3 linked regions of the Caenorhabditis elegans genome follow. The protein of the gene in region 2 interacts with the protein of the main gene of each other region in a pairwise test. Each region holds a gene or a part of one and is shown on either strand. Other genes may lie near its edges. The genes, in order: trp-2, C06A6.2 and sta-1.

Region 1 (5,102 bases), on a different chromosome or scaffold from region 2:
AAAAGTTTTGGGTCCCACCACGAAAACTCTTGGGGTACTGTATCTAGTACGAAAAATGTTTTTGGTAGTATTTTTATCACAAAATCTAGAAAATCTCTTTCAATTTACACTAAACTGCGGAAAATGCACAAAACTGGCGGAGTTAGCGATTTTTAAATTTTAGAAAAAAATTTTTTTTTTGAATTTTAAAAAATTTTCAAAAATTCATAACCTTGTTAGTTTTGAAGATTTTTAGCTAATTTTTCGAGAAAAAAAATAGACGGAAGCTTAAGTTTTATGGGAAAAATGCAAAAAATGACACAAAAACAGTATCTCACTATTTTTGAGACTAAAAAAAATTGAAAAAAAAAACTCAAAAAAAAAATTTTTTTTTGGTTTTTTCCCAAAATTTTAGAAAAGTTTCCAACTGAAACCTATACTAATTTAAGCTTTTCTGAAAGCTCTTCTTATGCTCTATCCTATTAAAAAACTGTTTCCCCTCCCAACTCACCTCATAATCTGTGCGGAACTCATTTTCAATAAAACTCAACCGCTTGAGCTCCCAGCTCAGCTCGAAAGCGTACAAAATCGGGTCTCGAGCGGAAAGACAGATGAGCGACGGGCTTGTAAGTGCTCTATAGGCATTTATCCGTGACCTAGAAAGTCGCAGAGAATCCTCTTCCCTTGCCACGTAGCACTCGGGGCAGGAGCATCTGACGTCATGGGGGTGGGGTACCGTACCCTTCTTGTCCAAAAACAGCTTTATGCACTCGTAATTGTCTTTGTGAGCTGCTAACACTATTGGTGTGATGTCTGGAGTAAATGCTGAGTGCTCTGTGATCTCCACTCCTTGGCGCTGAAATTTCAGAAAATTTCAAATTTTCAAAAAAAAATGTTTTTTTTTTGAAAGTACAATTTTTAACCAATTTTTTGAACTTTTAACAAAAATGTTATAATATTTGCACTGGGCTAACTGAGAGCTTTCAAATGACCCCCATCATGTCCAGGTTCCGCCAACTTTGAAATTTTGGGTCCCGCCACGCGGGTTACGGTAGCTATGTTTCAGCTGTGTCAAGACATGAAAATGGCGTAAACTAGGCATGATGGGGGTCATTTTGAAGCTTAAAATGTGAAAAATTCAAAATTTCAATTTGAGAGATTTTCTAAAAAAAACATTTTGTGAAAATTAAAAAAAAATTTTTTTTCGAAAATTCGTACCTTTTTCAGTTTTCGGTTAATTTTCCTGAAACCTATCTCAAAATTAACCCAGTTATCTGAATTTGTTATAAAAGTTAATCCAAAATGAAAAGTTCGCTTCCTACAGTACCCCGAGACTTTTTCCCGACGGGACCCAATTTTTTTCCCGAAAAATTAAAAATTCTCAGAACCCAGTCATGATTATACTTTTCTGAAAGCTCTCAGTGCGCTGAAACTAAATTTTACGTTAAATTTCATATAAAAAATTCGAAAAAAGTACCTCCGAGTCAAATTTGTCCATTTTTTCCAGGTGCTCCACTATGATCTCCACCGCCTCCACGTTTTCCTCTCCAATTGCGTAGAGAATTGCGTCGCCGGTCTGAAATTGTAAAATTTTTGGAAATTAAACAAAAAATGAGTTAAAAATTTAGATTTTCGAAGTAGAACAATTTTTTTGAAAAAAAAAACATTTAAATCTGTGAAAAACAATTTTTTTTTGCCCAGATTTTCAATTTGGCTTCTGTTGCAGAAATTGTTTTTGTGACATACAATAATAAATTTCAAAACAAATAATTAAGGGCTTCGAAAAAAATTCAAAAAAAAATTCCAAAAAAAAAATTCCAAAAAAAAAATTCCAAATAAAATTTTCAAAAAAAAATTTTTTTTTCCAGAATTTCTCACTTTAGGCTTATTTTTCGAGCACATTTTAAAAATGCTTTTTTTCTTTAAAAAAGTGTGCAAAACGAAACCTCAATATTGTGGTCCAATAGTAACTCGATCATCTCGATGTTCTCGTTTTCAATTGCGATGAGAAGCGCGTTTCTGCAACCGGGAGGGGGAATAAGATATAAACCGGAACTCGCGGAGCCCGTAAAAATTCAAGTGTACTATGCTATAAAATATATTTTATTCGGGGAAAGAAAAGTTTAAAAAATGTTGAAAAAAAATTTTTCAAAAATTTATTAGTTTCAAAATTTTCTCGAAAAAATATTAGAGCTATTGCATTTTATTTATAAAACTCGAATTTACAACGCTTTCAGCTTTTAAATGACCCCCATCATGCCTAAGTTTCGTCAATTTTGAAATTTTCGGGTTTCGCGACGCGGGGTACTGTAGCTCTGATTTCAGCTGTGTCGGAACTTAAAATTGACGTAAACAAGGCATGTTGGATGTAATTTGAAAGCTTTTTGTATCGTAAATGCAAATAAATATATGAGAAAATTTAAAAAGTTCGAGAAAATTTTCCTCAAAAAACAAAAATTTTTTCTTTTTTCCTCAAATTTTGCAAAATTTTCCATTTTTCAAGCTAATTTCAAAAAATTTAAATTATCGACGTTTTCAGCTTTTAAATGACCCCCATCATGCCTTAGTTTAATCAATTTTGAAAGTTTTGGGTCTCGCCACGCGGGGTAGTATAGCTATGGTTTCAGCTGTGTCGAATTTCAAAATTGACAAATCATAGGCATGATGAGGCTTATTTGAAAGCTCTCGGGGTGCTGAATTCAAATTTTTATTTTCAAGAAAGAAATTGTAGAAATTGTAAAGAAATTTGCAACATTTCGAAAAAAAAAATTTTTTTTCAAAAATTTAATTTTTTCAAACTTTATCAAACCTACCTGCCAAGCGGATCCAAACAATTTATATTAAAAGTTTCCGTTGAAATTCCAGCCAAAAGCTTCCTAACACTCCCAATATCTCCCCGCTCGCAGGAGAGCAGGAACTGCTTCTCGCGGAGCCGCGAGTTGTCCGACTCGGTCCACGTGACATTGTTGCTGACGTCATCGTCATCTTCAATCATCCGAAACTCGGATGCTTCTGATGATGTCATTTTGGCTGGAAAATGGAAGGGTTTAGGGAAAATTTGCGATGTTTTGGGACGAAATTTGAAAAAAATTAAAAAACAAAGAAATTCCGAATTTTTTTAAAATTTACCGCTAAAATTAAGGGCATCAGAAAACCACGTATTTTATGAAAAAATTTTAAAATTGGAGGGAATTACAAAAAAAAAAGAAAAAGTGTCATAAAATATCTGAAATCTGACACTTTTTAGAGCACAATATTTTTATTTTCTCCAGATCGCCTGACGGAAAAATGTATTTTAGTTAGGGACGTTTTTGATTTGAAAAATATTTCAAAAAGATAATACACTAAAATTTAATACTGAAAAAATTGTATTAAATTTTTTTTGGATAACATTTTTTAAATAACATTTTTTTTCAATCCTCCAAAATTTTTTTAACCGATTTTCAAATCTTTAAAGAAGTTTATTTATTAATTTCAGAACGACAATAGCTTCAAAATGACCCCCATATTGCCTATACTCCTTTGATTTCGAGAATTTGGGTCCCGCCACGCGGGGTACTGTAGCTGTGGTTTCAGCTGTGTCGGAGCTTAAAATTGACGGAAACTAGGCATGATGGGTGTCATTTTGAAGCTAAAATAAAAAAGTTCAAAAACTGATACGGAAAAAAACCTACAATTAAGTGGGTGTTTAAAAAATATTCAAAAAATATTCAAAAAAAAAATTTTTGAAGAAATTTATATTTTCTCCACAATTTATTAATTTTTGGTTTTTTTTTTAAATTTGAATTTATATTATTTACATTTGTGATATCGAGTGCTTTAAAATAACCCCCAATACGCCTATATTCCATCGATTTTTATAATTTGGGTCTCACCACGATGGGTACTGTAGCTGTGGTTTCAACTGTGTCGGAACTCAAAATTAACGGGAACTAGGCATGATGGGTGTTATTTTGAAGCCAGGAAAATGAGAAATTCGAAAAATAGGGAATAAAGCTGCAAAAATACGAATTAAAAAAATTTGCAGCAAAACATTTTAAAAAAATTTTTAATAAATTTTCGACACAATTTTTTTTCTAAAAACCCTATTACTAAAACCAGAAAACACTTTAAGCTTCACAAGCTCCGCCGAGAGCATAATAATGCGCGTTTTAAAACACACATCTCTCTCCCGGAGACGCTCATAATTTTTGCGCTTTTTCCATCACTTTTCCGCAAAGTTTAACAGCAATTATGTGTAGTTTTTGACTTTGACAGGAAAAATTGTTGGAAATAATTGAAATGAGATCAAAAAGTTATTAAAAGTTATTAAAAAATTGTTGAATTTTTTTGTCCTATTTTTTTCCGAAAAAAAAAAGATTTTTCCAAAAATTCTTTAAAAAATTAAGTTTATAAAAATGAGATTATAAAAATCAAGTTAAGATTTTTTCTAGCTTTCAAATGACCCCCATCATGCCTGGGTTCCGTTAGTTTTAAAATTTTGGGTCTCGCCACGCGTGGTACGGTAGCTCTGATTTCAGCTGTGTCGGAACCCAAAGTGATCGGAAAATAGGCATGATGGGGGTCATTTTGAAGCTGAAAATGTAAGGAAGTCAAAAATTTTTATGAAAATGCTCACTATCAGGAACCAACACTTCACACAAAGTTTTCAAAAAACGATTTTTCAGAAAAAAACAAAAAGAAAAGATTTTTCCCCAATTTTTTAAAAATTGTTTAATTTTCTAGATTTGAAACTAAAATTTCTATGATTAGGACATTGTAAGCTTTCAAATGACCCCCAACAAGCCTATATTCCGTCAATTTAAAAAATTTTGGGTCTCGCCACGCGGGGTACGGTAGCTATGCTTTCAGCTGTGTCGGAACTCAAAATTGACGGAATATATAAGCTGAAAATGTAAGAAATTCAAAAAATTTCCCAGGACTCCAAGACTCTTCCATAAAACCAAATAATGAAAAATGTTTCATTAGGAGGGGTCTTAAGCCATCATGATTGGGGGACGACGATGGGATTCTGGAGCAAAAAGGGGGTGAAAAAGAACAAAAATTGAGAAATAGACGAGAGCAGCACAGGAGCAGCAGCAGCTTGTGCTCCACGGAGCTAAAGAAGAGATAACAGAATTTCG
Region 2 (4,772 bases):
AAACGCTGATGGACTACATTTTCTGTACGTTTCTATATTTTGTTGCTGAAATTTATGAAATTATAATATTTCCTTATTTTCAAAGTGCTTCATAATCTTAAGCCGACCATGAGTAGTATTAACATAAAGTCTAAAAAACCTGCAAATCTTCACTGGATCAAAAAATCAATGTTCTTGGAAAATCTGAAACTACGCGATTAATCATGTGCTATTTTGATTCAAAATTATATAAAATATATGTGATCTTTTCAAGAAATCCAAAAAAAGTTAATATACAATTGAAAGTCTAGGTGCCTGCCCATCTGGCACCGTACCAGTACATTCATCTATTGACCTGTCTTTTCTCATTCATCGAACAGATGGTAAACTAATATGTTTCTGAAAACAATACAGTTTTAAAAGGTATTTTGAAGAAAAAATATCACGGTTATCTGATATCTGATATCTACCAACCAGATATCTCCAGATTCATAGAAGAACCAGATATCTGAAATTGATTTTATATTAGATCTGAAAACTTTTATTTGACAACTCCATCTCAATTTCAAAAATCGTGAACCACACATTTTTCAGATTTGGATGTTCCATTTCATGATTGTCACGTAGGGAAGAATTCCCATACTTCACAAAACGGAATCTTTAAATGTTGTTTGCGATCACCTAGATATTCTTGGTTCTTTCGAGCCCGTGGGGCCTCGAGATGTCTTTTTTTGCGCCGCCCGCTACTATTGCTGGCTGCTGTGTCGTCTTCGTCCAGGGGGGCAAGGCACACCCTCTCCGCCTCCTTCCCCACCCCCCACACATCGACCACTCGACGTTCAAGAAACAACAGGGCAAACACGGAGGATAGAGACATCGAGATATTGTGTAATTTGAAGAGAGTCGATGACATAGAACGCGGCGAGATGTGGGCGGGGCTTGTGTTAAGTCCCGCCCATCGGCGGTTTGGAGAGAATTGATCGAGGCCGAGACGGAGGGCACGCTGTTGGGAGAGAACACACACAGACACACACACACACACACACACATATATATACACACACATACCCGGCCCGTTTGCATGTTTTGGGCTATTTTCAGAAATTTGCCAGATTCGTTGGCCAACCCAGAAAGTAGGCGTGGCCTTCCAGTATTGCCCATTTTCCACATTTTCAGTGCGTTTGGTGCTGCAAATGAGCATTTCCGTGATCTAGATTTTATGTCCAATGGGTTACAGTGCCTCATCATTGGTAAACTTCTGTTATTTCAGTTGATGGTGCATCTGCACTTAAGAATTTGACATTTTCAATTAACTCTTGGCGTTTTTATTGTTTCTAAAATCTTTTTTTTCTATTTGTACGCCAAATTTTGTACTGAAGGAACTTTGTAAACCCATCACACTAAAAATATCATATTTCTGTCAGGATTTATGCTATGGTTTTATAAACACCCAAAGTTAAAAATTCCTTATCTGTAAAATTCCCAACAGATAAATTATTTTTGGAATTTGGAAGTAAAAAAATAAATCGAAAATTTTGCAACTTTTTTCTACTAAAAACCCCCTGGAAATTAAATGGGAAAACTTATTTTTTAAAGAACTTTACCCTTTTTTTTCATTTTTCCCTGACGGCCTAGAAATTCTCATAGTGGCCAATGATTCCCACAATGTTCTCTGTGTCTCTCCGCTTCACGCACCCTCTCGTTATCTCATTTTACGCGTACCGTGGCGCGAACCGTGATTTTTTTTTGAAAATATTTTTTTGCAGAAATAAAAGCGGATGTTCCGGCAACTCAGTGAATTATATATAAGTACTCTAAAAGAGGCAAAAGAAAGGGTTTGATATACGACAATACACTTCAAGTACCAAAAAATATTAATTTCAGTCTCCACCCAACTTTGATGATACACCACGTGGTTTGTTACTTGCTCTCATTAAAGACCGACCGACAATTTGGAATTCTAGTGCACGATTAACAAAAGATGATGTTCTAGCTTCATTTCAACAATGTTCCGCAATTTTGTCAAATATGGATCCTGGTTATTCGAGTAAGAGTTTTATTTATTGAAAATTTAATAATTTAATTTGAAAAAAAAACCTCAAAATTGTAAAGGCATTATAAAAATTTTTAATAACGTAAAAAATCTGTGATCTTCAAAAGTTTTCAAAGAAAAGTAGGGAGACTTACTAGTTAGACAAAGTAACATTTTTTAGAACCTAACAATTGTAAATTGAAAATTATTTAGGTATCTGTAATTTTTTCTGTCCATGTGATTCAAGAACTTCATAAATTTTAATCTTTTTTGCATTTAAGAATTCCCAAAAGACCCAGAGATGAATTTTTGCTCTCTAATTTCATATCAAACTAATTTTTTCTTTATTGCAGTATGGGCGGTCATTGAAAAATGGTGTTGGGTTGTTGAGAGCTACGTGAGGTGCTCAGTGACGGCTCCTCCATCAGAATGGCGTTATAATAATACTCTTGATTATTTGAAGCAGTTTGCCACCACGAGTTATCCGTATTTAGGGTAAGTGTCTTTGATAAATTTCATAAAATATAAGCTTTTGCTAAAAACTGTCTCAATTTTGACTCCAAATAGAAATGTTTTGTTTCAAGCTTTTTGAAAATATGCCTCCATCAATTACAGTAATCTTATTGAAAATTTTTTTTAACGGAAAATAAATCGTTGTTAAGGCATTGCATTCCGTAATTTTTAATTTGGTTTTTATTACAAAATGTATGCAAAACAATTTCAGATGCCTTTCAAAGAAACGACGAAATGAATTAACGAAGCTATACAATGATCCGGAAATAAATGTAGTTATGCAAAAAACGGAAGAAATTGAATTTCCTGTAGGAATTTTCCGGGACGAAATGTTGTATCTTTCTGGAGAAGATCACTTAATGCAATATGATTTAGAACTGAGAACTGTTGGACAAGTTGTTAATGCAAAACGAAGAGGCAGGCCCTCAAAAGTCGATAAAGTATGTTTTTAAATTTTTAAAAATGGAAATAATTGGAAAAGATGCCTCTGAAAATTAAATGGACCGCCTTGATTATTCAAACGTTCAAAAAAAACATTTTGCCGAAGATACTTTTGAGCTAGATTAGACAAACTTTAACCTTAAAAATGTTTTTAATACTACAATCTTTCTCAAAAACCCGAAACCGAAAGTTTTCAACTTTGTTCAGAGAATAATGATTAAATTTATTTGTTGAGGGATAAGCATTATTTTAATTTGATCTTTGCGAGGTTCTAACGGAAAACCTCCATAAAAATAAAAACCGTCCAAAAGGTGTACGTCTTCAATTTAATATATATGGGTTACTGAAATTCTCCATTGCACAGATTTTTTTTGGTCTCTAATGATAACTATTTTGTTTGTAGTGAGTGCGCGTTTCGTATTTCAAAGTGAAAATTTTCACAGTGGTCAAGAATGAGCAATGATTAAAAAAATTAATTTTTTGCTCCAGCGCCAGTGCCGATTTAGTAAAATTACACTTATAATTCACCAAAATACGGAATATCAAAACAGTTTTGGCAAACTGCCAAACTTTTGACAAAGTTTTCCTATCTGAGAAATTTAATTGATTGTGGCTTATTTGAACCCCTGCAATGTTTAAATACGAATAATTAAAGTTTTTTGGTTGACCACCAAAATTATGAGTGACGAGAAATTGCCAGTTTTAACTAAAAGTTATAAAAATCCTCATACTCCACCTTTACCTGTTTATATTTCAATGTATTGTTTCATATTTCAGCGATCTCCAGTTGATAATTTCTATAATTTAACGCCACAATCTGCTCAATTTCAAAAGCTACTGGAGAGCAATATGTCAAGTGCATTCAGCATTGCTTTTGCCGAATCTGAATTGATTCCCGATGATTTAGGATTTTCACCGGCAATGTACATGGCTCTTATCGATATGATTCAAGATAAACCAGAATTATGGCAATCAAATCATCCTCAAAAGGATAATTTACAAGCACAAGAGCAATTGTTTGAAGATTTCGGAAAACAATTGATTATAAAGTTCCGAGATACAGCAGATATTAGTGTTCTTGAAAAGTTAACGGGCCCATACGTTCATCTTGTTTGGGAACGACTATTGGAAAAGTTTAAAGAAGAGGATAGCCTTGAAACAGTATCGAAATGGAAATATTATCAGGTTGGGTTTTTACTTAATTTTCCAAAAATATTATCGCCAAAAAGCCTTCATAAAATGAACTACCTATGAAAAATTATTCAGAAAGAGCTACATTAAAAATTCAATTTTTATGGAATTTAATCTAGTTCAATCATGATAAAAACCCTGTTTAAAATCAAAATTTTAGAATTATTTTATTCGGAATTTAGTACAGGTTCTAGTTTTCCAATAGCTTCCAAATTTTTATTCTAGCTGAAAAATAATTTGATTAAACATTTCTGAGTCCCAATTATTCACATTTTTACGCATTAGTTTAGTACTGTAGTTTGAATTTTTAACAAAGTTCGTTTCTATAGTTCTAAATTTCCTTTTCATCCTCCCAACTTCGTGCATTGTGCACTTCGGAACTGACAGCTGCCTACCAGCTGTCGCGGTCTCCACACCACTGGAGTTTTTTTTTCTGAATAAAAAAAATTGGAGCAGAAATATACGCAGCCAGGCTTATTCAACGGAATACTACCCTAAAGGTTTAGCAATTATTTGAAATTCTCGAAATATAAATTGGGAGAAAGTATATATATATATGCATGAACAGGGTCCGAAATAGGCCAAGTAAACGGGAAAGGGAATCTAGGTCGATTGT
Region 3 (8,020 bases), 8.8 Mb from region 2:
GATTACAGCTCAAGTCAATGTTTTGTCAAACCTTAAAAATTGGGTCTCGACTCTAAAATCTGCGACTTCTGGAAAAATTTAAATTTTTCAGAAACATGATTTACAAATAGACAATTTGAAACATTTTTTGTCATTTTTTGAAGAGGCATTGTCCGAATTCTAAGCCATGATCTTATCTCTTTTCAGTGAAACAGAAAAATATTTTCATTTTGCGTTTTTTTTTAATTCGTATTTTTAATAGGCTGGCGGTTATTTTTCAAAGTAAAATAAGAATTATAAACCGTTGCGAGACCTTGTTTTTTTTTCAAAAAAAAACTGAGTGATTCACTAATATTTTTGAATATTAGACTTTGAAAAATGAACAACTTGAAACATGCTTTGGCATTTTTCCAAAATAAATTGCTTTAAATTCATCAGGCTTTCTAAGTAGGCGCTAAGGCCTTGTTGAAGCTGTAGGTAGGCAAGTCGTTCTGCCTACATTGCTGCCTACCATTGTTTCAACTAAGCCGAAAATTTAAATGTAAGTGTTATTATTTCAATTAATTTAATGGCAAAGAAATGAAACACATTCTTCCCCTGGTAGAAGGCACACGTCAGGCGTAGCTTGCCTATAGTCAAACAGTAATTTTCGGCCCAACATAGCAGCCCTTACATCGATTGTATCTAATATTTTCAAACTTTCGACCAGATGTGAGATGTTTACTGATGTTAGAAATTAACCGATAATTTATCAACAACCTGAAACAGCATAATTTTTTTTTAATTCACTAATTTCAAAATTTGACTTTCTTGAAGAATTACACCGTAGGCAGACAGGCTAACTTTTTTGCCTTAGAATTTTTATAAAAACGATTAGTTTTTTGAGTTACTCCGTGCAGTTTTCACAATTTCCGGATTTTATTTTAGTAAAAATTCCACCCAGTTTCAGTTAGTTATTATTCACGAGCGCATGTTTCTGCATTCATTCTATTTTCACACCGTTATTATCCAATTTTAAAAAGTGTCATTTGTAACCCACTTTTGCCTATAACGAGAAAATTCAAAAAATTACAGTTGGAGTAAAAACGGAAAATAGGCGGTAGGCAAGTAGGTAGGCAGGCAGGAGGTGTCCAGTTATAGAAAGTGTTCATGTTAACATTTCATGTACTTTCATGATGTTTACTAATTGGATCCAAAAAATATTTTTAAAAAATATATCAGAAAAATGGGACTGATGTTTTTAATAATTATTCAATGAAACAGTAGAAAAATGAAATATTTGGAAATGAAACTTTTTGTTCAAAACTGCTGTGCTGACAGTTCTTATAATAAATTATTAAAAATCACAGTATCGAGATGGTGATGAGACCTAAAAAGTACGGAGAAAAGTGTATTTAACAATTATACAATTGATGCCATTTTCAATATCGTTCAATGAAAAAAACCATATAAAATTATTTAGTGAAACAATAGAAAAAAAAAAAATTTTTTTAAATTCCTGTATTTTATTTAAATTGGCAATTTTAACTTTCATTTGAATATTTTTGTAAAATGATCACAGTTTCAAAAGATTTAGATCAAATTATAATGATGCATTTGTTGTAATAAGTATTTCGGAATTGCAACATTAACAAAAGAAGGGACAACTTTTATAATTCTTAAGTGAAACAGTTGAAGTTTTTTTTCAAATTTTTGTTAATTTTGTTCAAAATAACTGCTGACATAATTTATATCCACGTTCAGAAATATTATCAAAAGTGCTTCAGCCTGAACGGTGAAATCATAAATCACATAATTTCCAGCCGGGCCGCAGAAAATAGGTGGTAGGTAGGTAAGCACAAGGCAAGAAGGTGTATTTCTTAGTACTGATGTGAATGTGAAAAATGTGAACATTATTTATATATATTTTTCAGGGTGATTCACAAAGATTAGAAATATCAAACGATTGCAATTGAAGCTATTTATGATTATTCAATGAAACAGTAGAAAATTTGAACTTTTTCTCAAATTTTTCCAATTTCTTAACCACATAAAAAATATTTGTTTTGTTTAAATGTGCCAGTTTTCATAGCAAAATTTTGAAATTCAAAGGTTTCAAAACGTGGTAAGACCCGAAAATTGTTGTTATGAAAGAGAATGCAATAAGAATGCAATAACTTCAAACCAAATGATAAAAGTATTTAGTGAAACAGTATAATTTTTTTTCATTTTTTCAATTTTCTTCACACTTATTTTTTACTGTAACTGAACAAACTTAACATCTTGTTAAGTTTTCACTCCTAAAATTAACTTTTATTTACCCTTTTTTTTTATTTGGCACTTCTGACTTTAATTTTAACATTTTTTGTTTAAATTGATCACTGATTGAAAAGAGTTTAATCAAATTATAATAATTAGAAAAGATGAAGGAGTATTTTCTTAACATTAAAAAAAGAAGGAACAACTTATATAATTCTTAAGTGAAACAGTTGAAGTTTTTTTTTTTTTGGACGGTGAGAACATAGATCACATAATTTCCCGCCAGGGCGCAGAAAATAGGCGGTAGGCAGGTACGTAGGCAGGTACGATACTTACGTCCCAGTAATCGCGTGAAAATTCAATTCACTTTCGTGGTTACAGAAATATCAAACTATTGCAATTGAGGCTATTTATGATTCTTCAATGAAAAAGTAGTATTTTTGAACTTTTTATTTTTTGTCCAATTTCTTAACCACATAAAATATTTAGTGAAACAGTATAATTTTTTTCATTTTTCCAATTTTTTTTAAACATTTCCATTTTTGACCGTAACTAAGCATACTTAACAACATGGTAAACTTTTCGCGTCTAAAACTAACCGAATATCCTTCAATTGTGGACATGAAGCAATACGACTTGCCAGTGACAATTGATCCAAATCCTTAATAGTAAAAGGTGCCAAATGAAATGGAATCTTTTGTCCATCAGCCTCTTCACAAACAAAACCAATCGATACAGCACCAGTTTGACTGTCAGAGAATCTCAATAAAAATGAAGAGTGCTGACACATCATCATACTTTGAGACGCATCATTTTTTGAAATAAATCCAATGCACCATCCCTCATCCCAGAATTTGAGCAGTTTTTGTTTGATTAATTGCATTATTGAGAAAAACCATTCCCAAAATGAGAATGGTAAGTCATCTCTCATTGCCTGTTTTGCGAATCGATGAAATGTGATTGGCTTCTGATCTGCCACATTTGGCATTAACATTTTCTCACTTAAATATGCCAAATCTGAATCTGAAAGTGGACGACGTGCTCCCGTGAATAAGGAGAACTTGTTTCGAAGCATTATTGCTAGATTGTCCCATGTCACAGCTGTCACATCAGTTGTATTTGGATTTCTGCTGATTGAGGCGAATGCGCGGTGCCAGAGAATTGCAACTTGCGCGTCACAGTCTTGAGATCCGTGTACTGTAACCATTATTGGAAGAGAAAGTGTCCAAACGTCGAATTGTTCTTCCTGTTAAATTTTAATTGATAGAAATTGGAGGACATATTAAATTTTGAAAATTAAGAGTAGCTGAAACAGTGAAAATTCTCAAGTTTCTTTACACTTTTTTGAATATAGAATTACTGCTTTTACTAATCCAGTTAGAAAATTTCAGTAATTCAAAGTGAAAACCGAAAGAAATGTTGGAAATGTTTGGTTCAACCATTGTTCGTTTATCAGACTCAAATTTTGAAATAAATTTTAAACTTTTTGTTGAAACAGTGAAAAAATAAAAAATAAATGTTTTGCTGTTTCACGTTGTTTTTAAAAGATTTTGCATTTGAGTTTGAGTTACTGACTACGTTCAAAAAAAATCAAGTCATAATTGAAATATCAACAACTTACTTTGCTCAAATTACCCATTTGAAAAGGTGTAATAAAGAATAAAAGAGCATATTTCTGATCAGTAGCTGCCTGCATACTTGCTGCACATTTCAAGTCAGATGCTCCTTTTGGGGGCGGTTTTCTGTGTGCAATTCTTGTCAATTTTGAATTATTGAATTTTGCCGCCAAGTGTCCTCTTTCATTCATTGTGAGCTTCTCGAAATCATTGGAAATTGTGCCAACTGTCTTGTTGTTACGGCTGAAAAATATTAGTGTTGAATATAGTGATACAACTACAAATTAACCACAAAAAATAAGAAAAGTATATAAAAATAATACGAAAAAGTATAAGTTTTAGAAAAAAAAATTTTCTCAATTTTTCAAAAATTTACTGTTTCAAATTTTTCATTAAAAAAAACTCACATTTCCTTATGTGCATCATAGTCAACACTCAACTGCTTGGCTTCATCTTCTGCTATAATTTTCACTGAAACATTTGTGTTCACCAGGTGTTGACGAATTCCCAGCTTATCGCCAATGAGAAGACGGACCTGGAAATTTTAGTTTTTTTTTGTAATTTTATTGAAAAATCAGGATTCTGAAATTGCTGCGTCCCACAGCGGAAACTACAGTAACCCGTAAAATTAGGTGGGGTGGAACTGTAGTTTTTGTGGTGGGACCCAGAAATTTTCAAGCTGAACAAATGCGTGGCACACATTATATTCGAATTGAACTTCTTAAATAAAATTGTTGAGTATGACTTACATATTTATTTGAATGACTTTTGAAACGGTAAAGTTTTAATTAAAATTTTTGAATTTTTTTTTATTGTTTCTTATAATTTGCTTGAATTCTAACTAAGTTGGGTCTCGTCACGACGGTGTGGTTTTCGCGGCGGGACCCACCAAAATTTGACATGTATAATTTCCATTAAAAAACAAACCTCAGTGACAAATTTATGTTGAGTCTTCAAAACAGGTTCCGGTTGAACGGAAACAATAAAACTCTGTGAAACCAGCATAAAAAGTAATTTGTTCAATTGTTCTGTAATTGCAGTCAACTTTCCAATTGTTGCCTGAGCGAGCCCATCATTTAACTGTGGAGCACGTCGGAGCAAGTCGAGCATCCAACACGAGAACATGTTAAGCTGCCAGTTTTGATCAGCGAGAAATTCGAATTCAATTTGAATTTCATCAAGCAGCTGTTCGCGATTATCGAAAGGCATTCCGATTTGGGCAAGTTTTTGGGCATTTTTCCAGGAGAACAGCTTTTCGCCAATTAGTTGGGTCTGGAAATGAAGATTGATTAAAATATTGCAACGCATAGAAAATTTGATTAAACTGTGAAACAGTATTTTTTTAAAAATATTTCTCTTTAAAAAAAATTGTCAAATTTTATGCAAAATCAATGTAAAAGGAAAAAAAAGATTAAATTTGATAAAAGTGTGAAACTGTAAATATTATAACTAACTTTTTTTCAGATAAGAGAGCTAGATTGCAGGCCAGTTTTAAAGTATGACATTTTCGCGCGTTCAATATATGAAATGCATGGGAAACATTAAATTTTTAATTAATTTTTGTATTTCAGTTCATTTTTGATGTAATTTCATATTAAAAGATTTCTTAATGCTTTTTTTAAACAAAACATTCACTTGAAACATTAAAAGAATAAAAATATTTTTAGCATGAATTTACTGAACATGCAAAATTCTTCAAAATTTGAAGGATTTTTCAAAAAAGTAAATCTTGTATTAGAGTTTTTTAATGGAAATGGTCTTCGACAGTCAAGTAAAGTAAAAAATTTTAATTCATATTTCACAAAACTTTGAAACAGTAAAATTTTTTTTATGTTTTTTTCATATTTTTTCACATTAGAAGAACCAACCTGTAGCATCGTCGCAAAATTGGTGCCATCATTAAGTTTAATGACAATATCATTTCTTTTCTGTGTCAAATGCTCATAAAGTGTGGCTGCTCTTTTCTGTAACTCTGTCATTTGCTGTTTCACAGTGAATACATTTTCTAGTCTCTGTTGCTGTTCCAGCTGTGCAATGACCATTTGCAGACGTTGAAGCTCGCCGAGTTCATTCACAAATCTGCCTTGGAGGTCCTTATTCTCTTCCCACAAGTGATGGCAGGTCTTTGAGACGTCGGTTAGAGCTGTTTGAAGCTCTTGCGACGATGAGCCCATCATGTCTGGAAATTTCAGATTTTTAATGAAGGGAATGGGAAGACAAGGAGGTAATAAAAAGGAAACGTTTTCAAAGAAAAATTTGTGAAAAAAAATTGGTTAAAAATTTTTTTACAGTTTCAAGAATTTTATTTCATTTTCAGTGTATTTTCAGAATCGACGTATACTTTAAAAAATTTTTTACTGTTTCAAATAAGTGATTAAATTTTGAAAGATTTTGTTAATTTCAATTTGATTTTTCACTGTTTCTGAAAACTTTCAATGTAGCATATTCGCTTGACAAAACATATTCATTTTCATCAATAATTATGAAAAAAAAAAAGAAAATATGTACGTGCAATGCAAGAAAAAATTGCGAAAACTTTCAATTTGTGCGAGTTGTTGAAAGAGCCGTGGCTCTGCACAAGAACTCGAAGGAAAAAACTAATGAGAAGTTGTTGGCTCAAAAAAGCGGAAAATGGGCAAGAGATGCAGAGAGCAGAAACACTTGGAAATGTATAAGAGCTCCAGGAGCACACACACACACGGGAGAGAGTATCAAAGAGAGCACAGAGACGCAGACAGTGTTACACACCGCTAGACGCAGAGACTTGTGTGTTTTCACACCACTTTTCCCCTGTCTCAGCTGATATCTGTGATGATTGGGGGGACGGAAAAAAATGGAGATATTATTGAGGGATTAGAGAAAAATATGTTTTTTTTTTCAAAAAAAAAATCGTTCAAATTAATTTTGAAACAGTAGTGGTTTTTTCAAGTTATTATAAAATGAGCTGAACATGAACATTTAAGGTTCTACTTGTATTACCCAACCGTGAAATTTTGCGCGAAAATTACTGTATCGGGTCTCGACGCGACAAATTACTGTTCAAATGTTCTAAAAATGTTCGAAAGTATGTATGTTTTTGTGGTTTTTATTCAAATATTTTTTATTGGAAAACAATTTGAAAAATCTGGAAAATTTTCAAATTTTGGGTGAACGACGATTTGACGGAAATTTTGGAAAATTTTAACATTTTTCCACTGTTTCAAGTTGTCTTTAAAAATACCAACATTTTATTTATACGTTGCTAGATTTATTCCAGTTTTTTATTCTGAGTGTATGAAGTTCTATTATTATTTCTCACTACTGTTCTAGCATTTTGAGGATTATAAAATGTGGTGTTGAAACCGAAAATTTAGTTTTTTTTAATTTTTTTTCGGCCAAGCTGAAATAATTTTGCGTGTTTTAAAATTGGCTTAGAGTCTGGAAATTTTATAACAATCTGACAAGTAATCTGAATATACCGGGAAAAAGAAATTGAAAAAAAAATTATACTGGGGCTATTTCTATATGGAACCTTAAAGATTTCAAACTTGAGAAGAAAACAATACTGTTTCAGATTACTGATATTGTCTGAATGTATAAAATGGGGTAATACAGTGTTGAAAATGAAGGTAGTATAATATTTTAGAAAACATATATATTGTTTCAGATTGCTTACATATGAATCGAATAATGTTTCTCAATATTTAAATTTTTTTCAAGTTTAATGCTGCTATTGTCGGAAAGCAAAAATTGTCAAACATTACTTCGAAGTTCGATTTCACTAGTTAGTGAGCTGAAGTTTCGTTTTTTGTTCAAACTAGGTAATTAATAGAGCTTATAAGACTTACAAGTTCAAATTTTTAGAAAAAATGTATCTTGTTTCAGATAAGTCAAGTATCAATGGCAATTTTTAATTGAAATAACACAAAAGGCACAGCAAAATTTACAGAAAGTTGGATGAAAAGTTTACTGTTTCAGGTTACTCATATTCAATATGGAAAATGAATTGTTATCGATTATCCTTCTGTATTACATCCTAATAAGGGTCATTTACAGTTAGATATAAATTGAAATTTTTCTATCAATTATTTCGTTTTACAGAGCATTCCAACTTGGAAAATGTGCTTATGTTTCATGGTCATGAGAAATAAAAAATTTACTGTTTCTAACTGGTTTTTAATATTTTCAAATTGTTTTTTTTTTTGCTT

What was found.
Region 1: the proteins of C06A6.2 (region 2) and trp-2 interact in a two-hybrid assay, tested with the Caenorhabditis elegans proteins (one large-scale study listed by BioGRID).
Region 3: the proteins of C06A6.2 (region 2) and sta-1 interact in a two-hybrid assay, tested with the Caenorhabditis elegans proteins (one large-scale study listed by BioGRID).

The regions. Positions count from the first base shown.
Region 1 is NC_003281.10:989,783-994,884, reverse strand, and holds the start of trp-2 (Transient receptor ion channel domain-containing protein), read right to left. Parts: upstream 3,005-5,102; coding exon 2,793-3,004; intron 1,999-2,792; coding exon 1,926-1,998; intron 1,556-1,925; coding exon 1,457-1,555; intron 836-1,456; coding exon 491-835; intron 1-490.
Region 2 is NC_003282.8:7,844,885-7,849,656, forward strand, and holds the start of C06A6.2 (MADF domain-containing protein), read left to right. Parts: upstream 1-1,737; 5' UTR 1,738-1,757; coding exon 1,758-1,814; intron 1,815-1,863; coding exon 1,864-2,026; intron 2,027-2,364; coding exon 2,365-2,506; intron 2,507-2,735; coding exon 2,736-2,964; intron 2,965-3,742; coding exon 3,743-4,150; intron 4,151-4,726; exon of another isoform or gene 4,727-4,772.
Region 3 is NC_003282.8:16,662,312-16,670,331, reverse strand, and holds the start of sta-1 (Signal transducer and activator of transcription 1), read right to left. Parts: upstream 6,013-8,020; 5' UTR 6,011-6,012; coding exon 5,702-6,010; intron 5,606-5,701; exon of another isoform or gene 5,585-5,605; intron 5,330-5,584; exon of another isoform or gene 5,309-5,329; intron 5,226-5,308; exon of another isoform or gene 5,205-5,225; intron 5,123-5,204; exon of another isoform or gene 5,106-5,122; coding exon 4,761-5,105; intron 4,748-4,760; exon of another isoform or gene 4,727-4,747; intron 4,565-4,726; exon of another isoform or gene 4,544-4,564; intron 4,369-4,543; coding exon 4,241-4,368; intron 4,118-4,240; exon of another isoform or gene 4,097-4,117; intron 4,077-4,096; coding exon 3,839-4,076; intron 3,811-3,838; exon of another isoform or gene 3,790-3,810; intron 3,671-3,789; exon of another isoform or gene 3,650-3,670; intron 3,464-3,649; coding exon 2,817-3,463; coding exon of another isoform or gene 2,780-2,816; intron 2,670-2,779; exon of another isoform or gene 2,649-2,669; intron 2,604-2,648; exon of another isoform or gene 2,583-2,603; intron 2,402-2,582; exon of another isoform or gene 2,381-2,401; intron 2,344-2,380; exon of another isoform or gene 2,323-2,343; intron 2,128-2,322; exon of another isoform or gene 2,106-2,127; intron 1,918-2,105; and 14 more. UniProt on the Caenorhabditis elegans protein: Carries out a dual function: signal transduction and activation of transcription. Activated STAT proteins play a role in repression of dauer formation.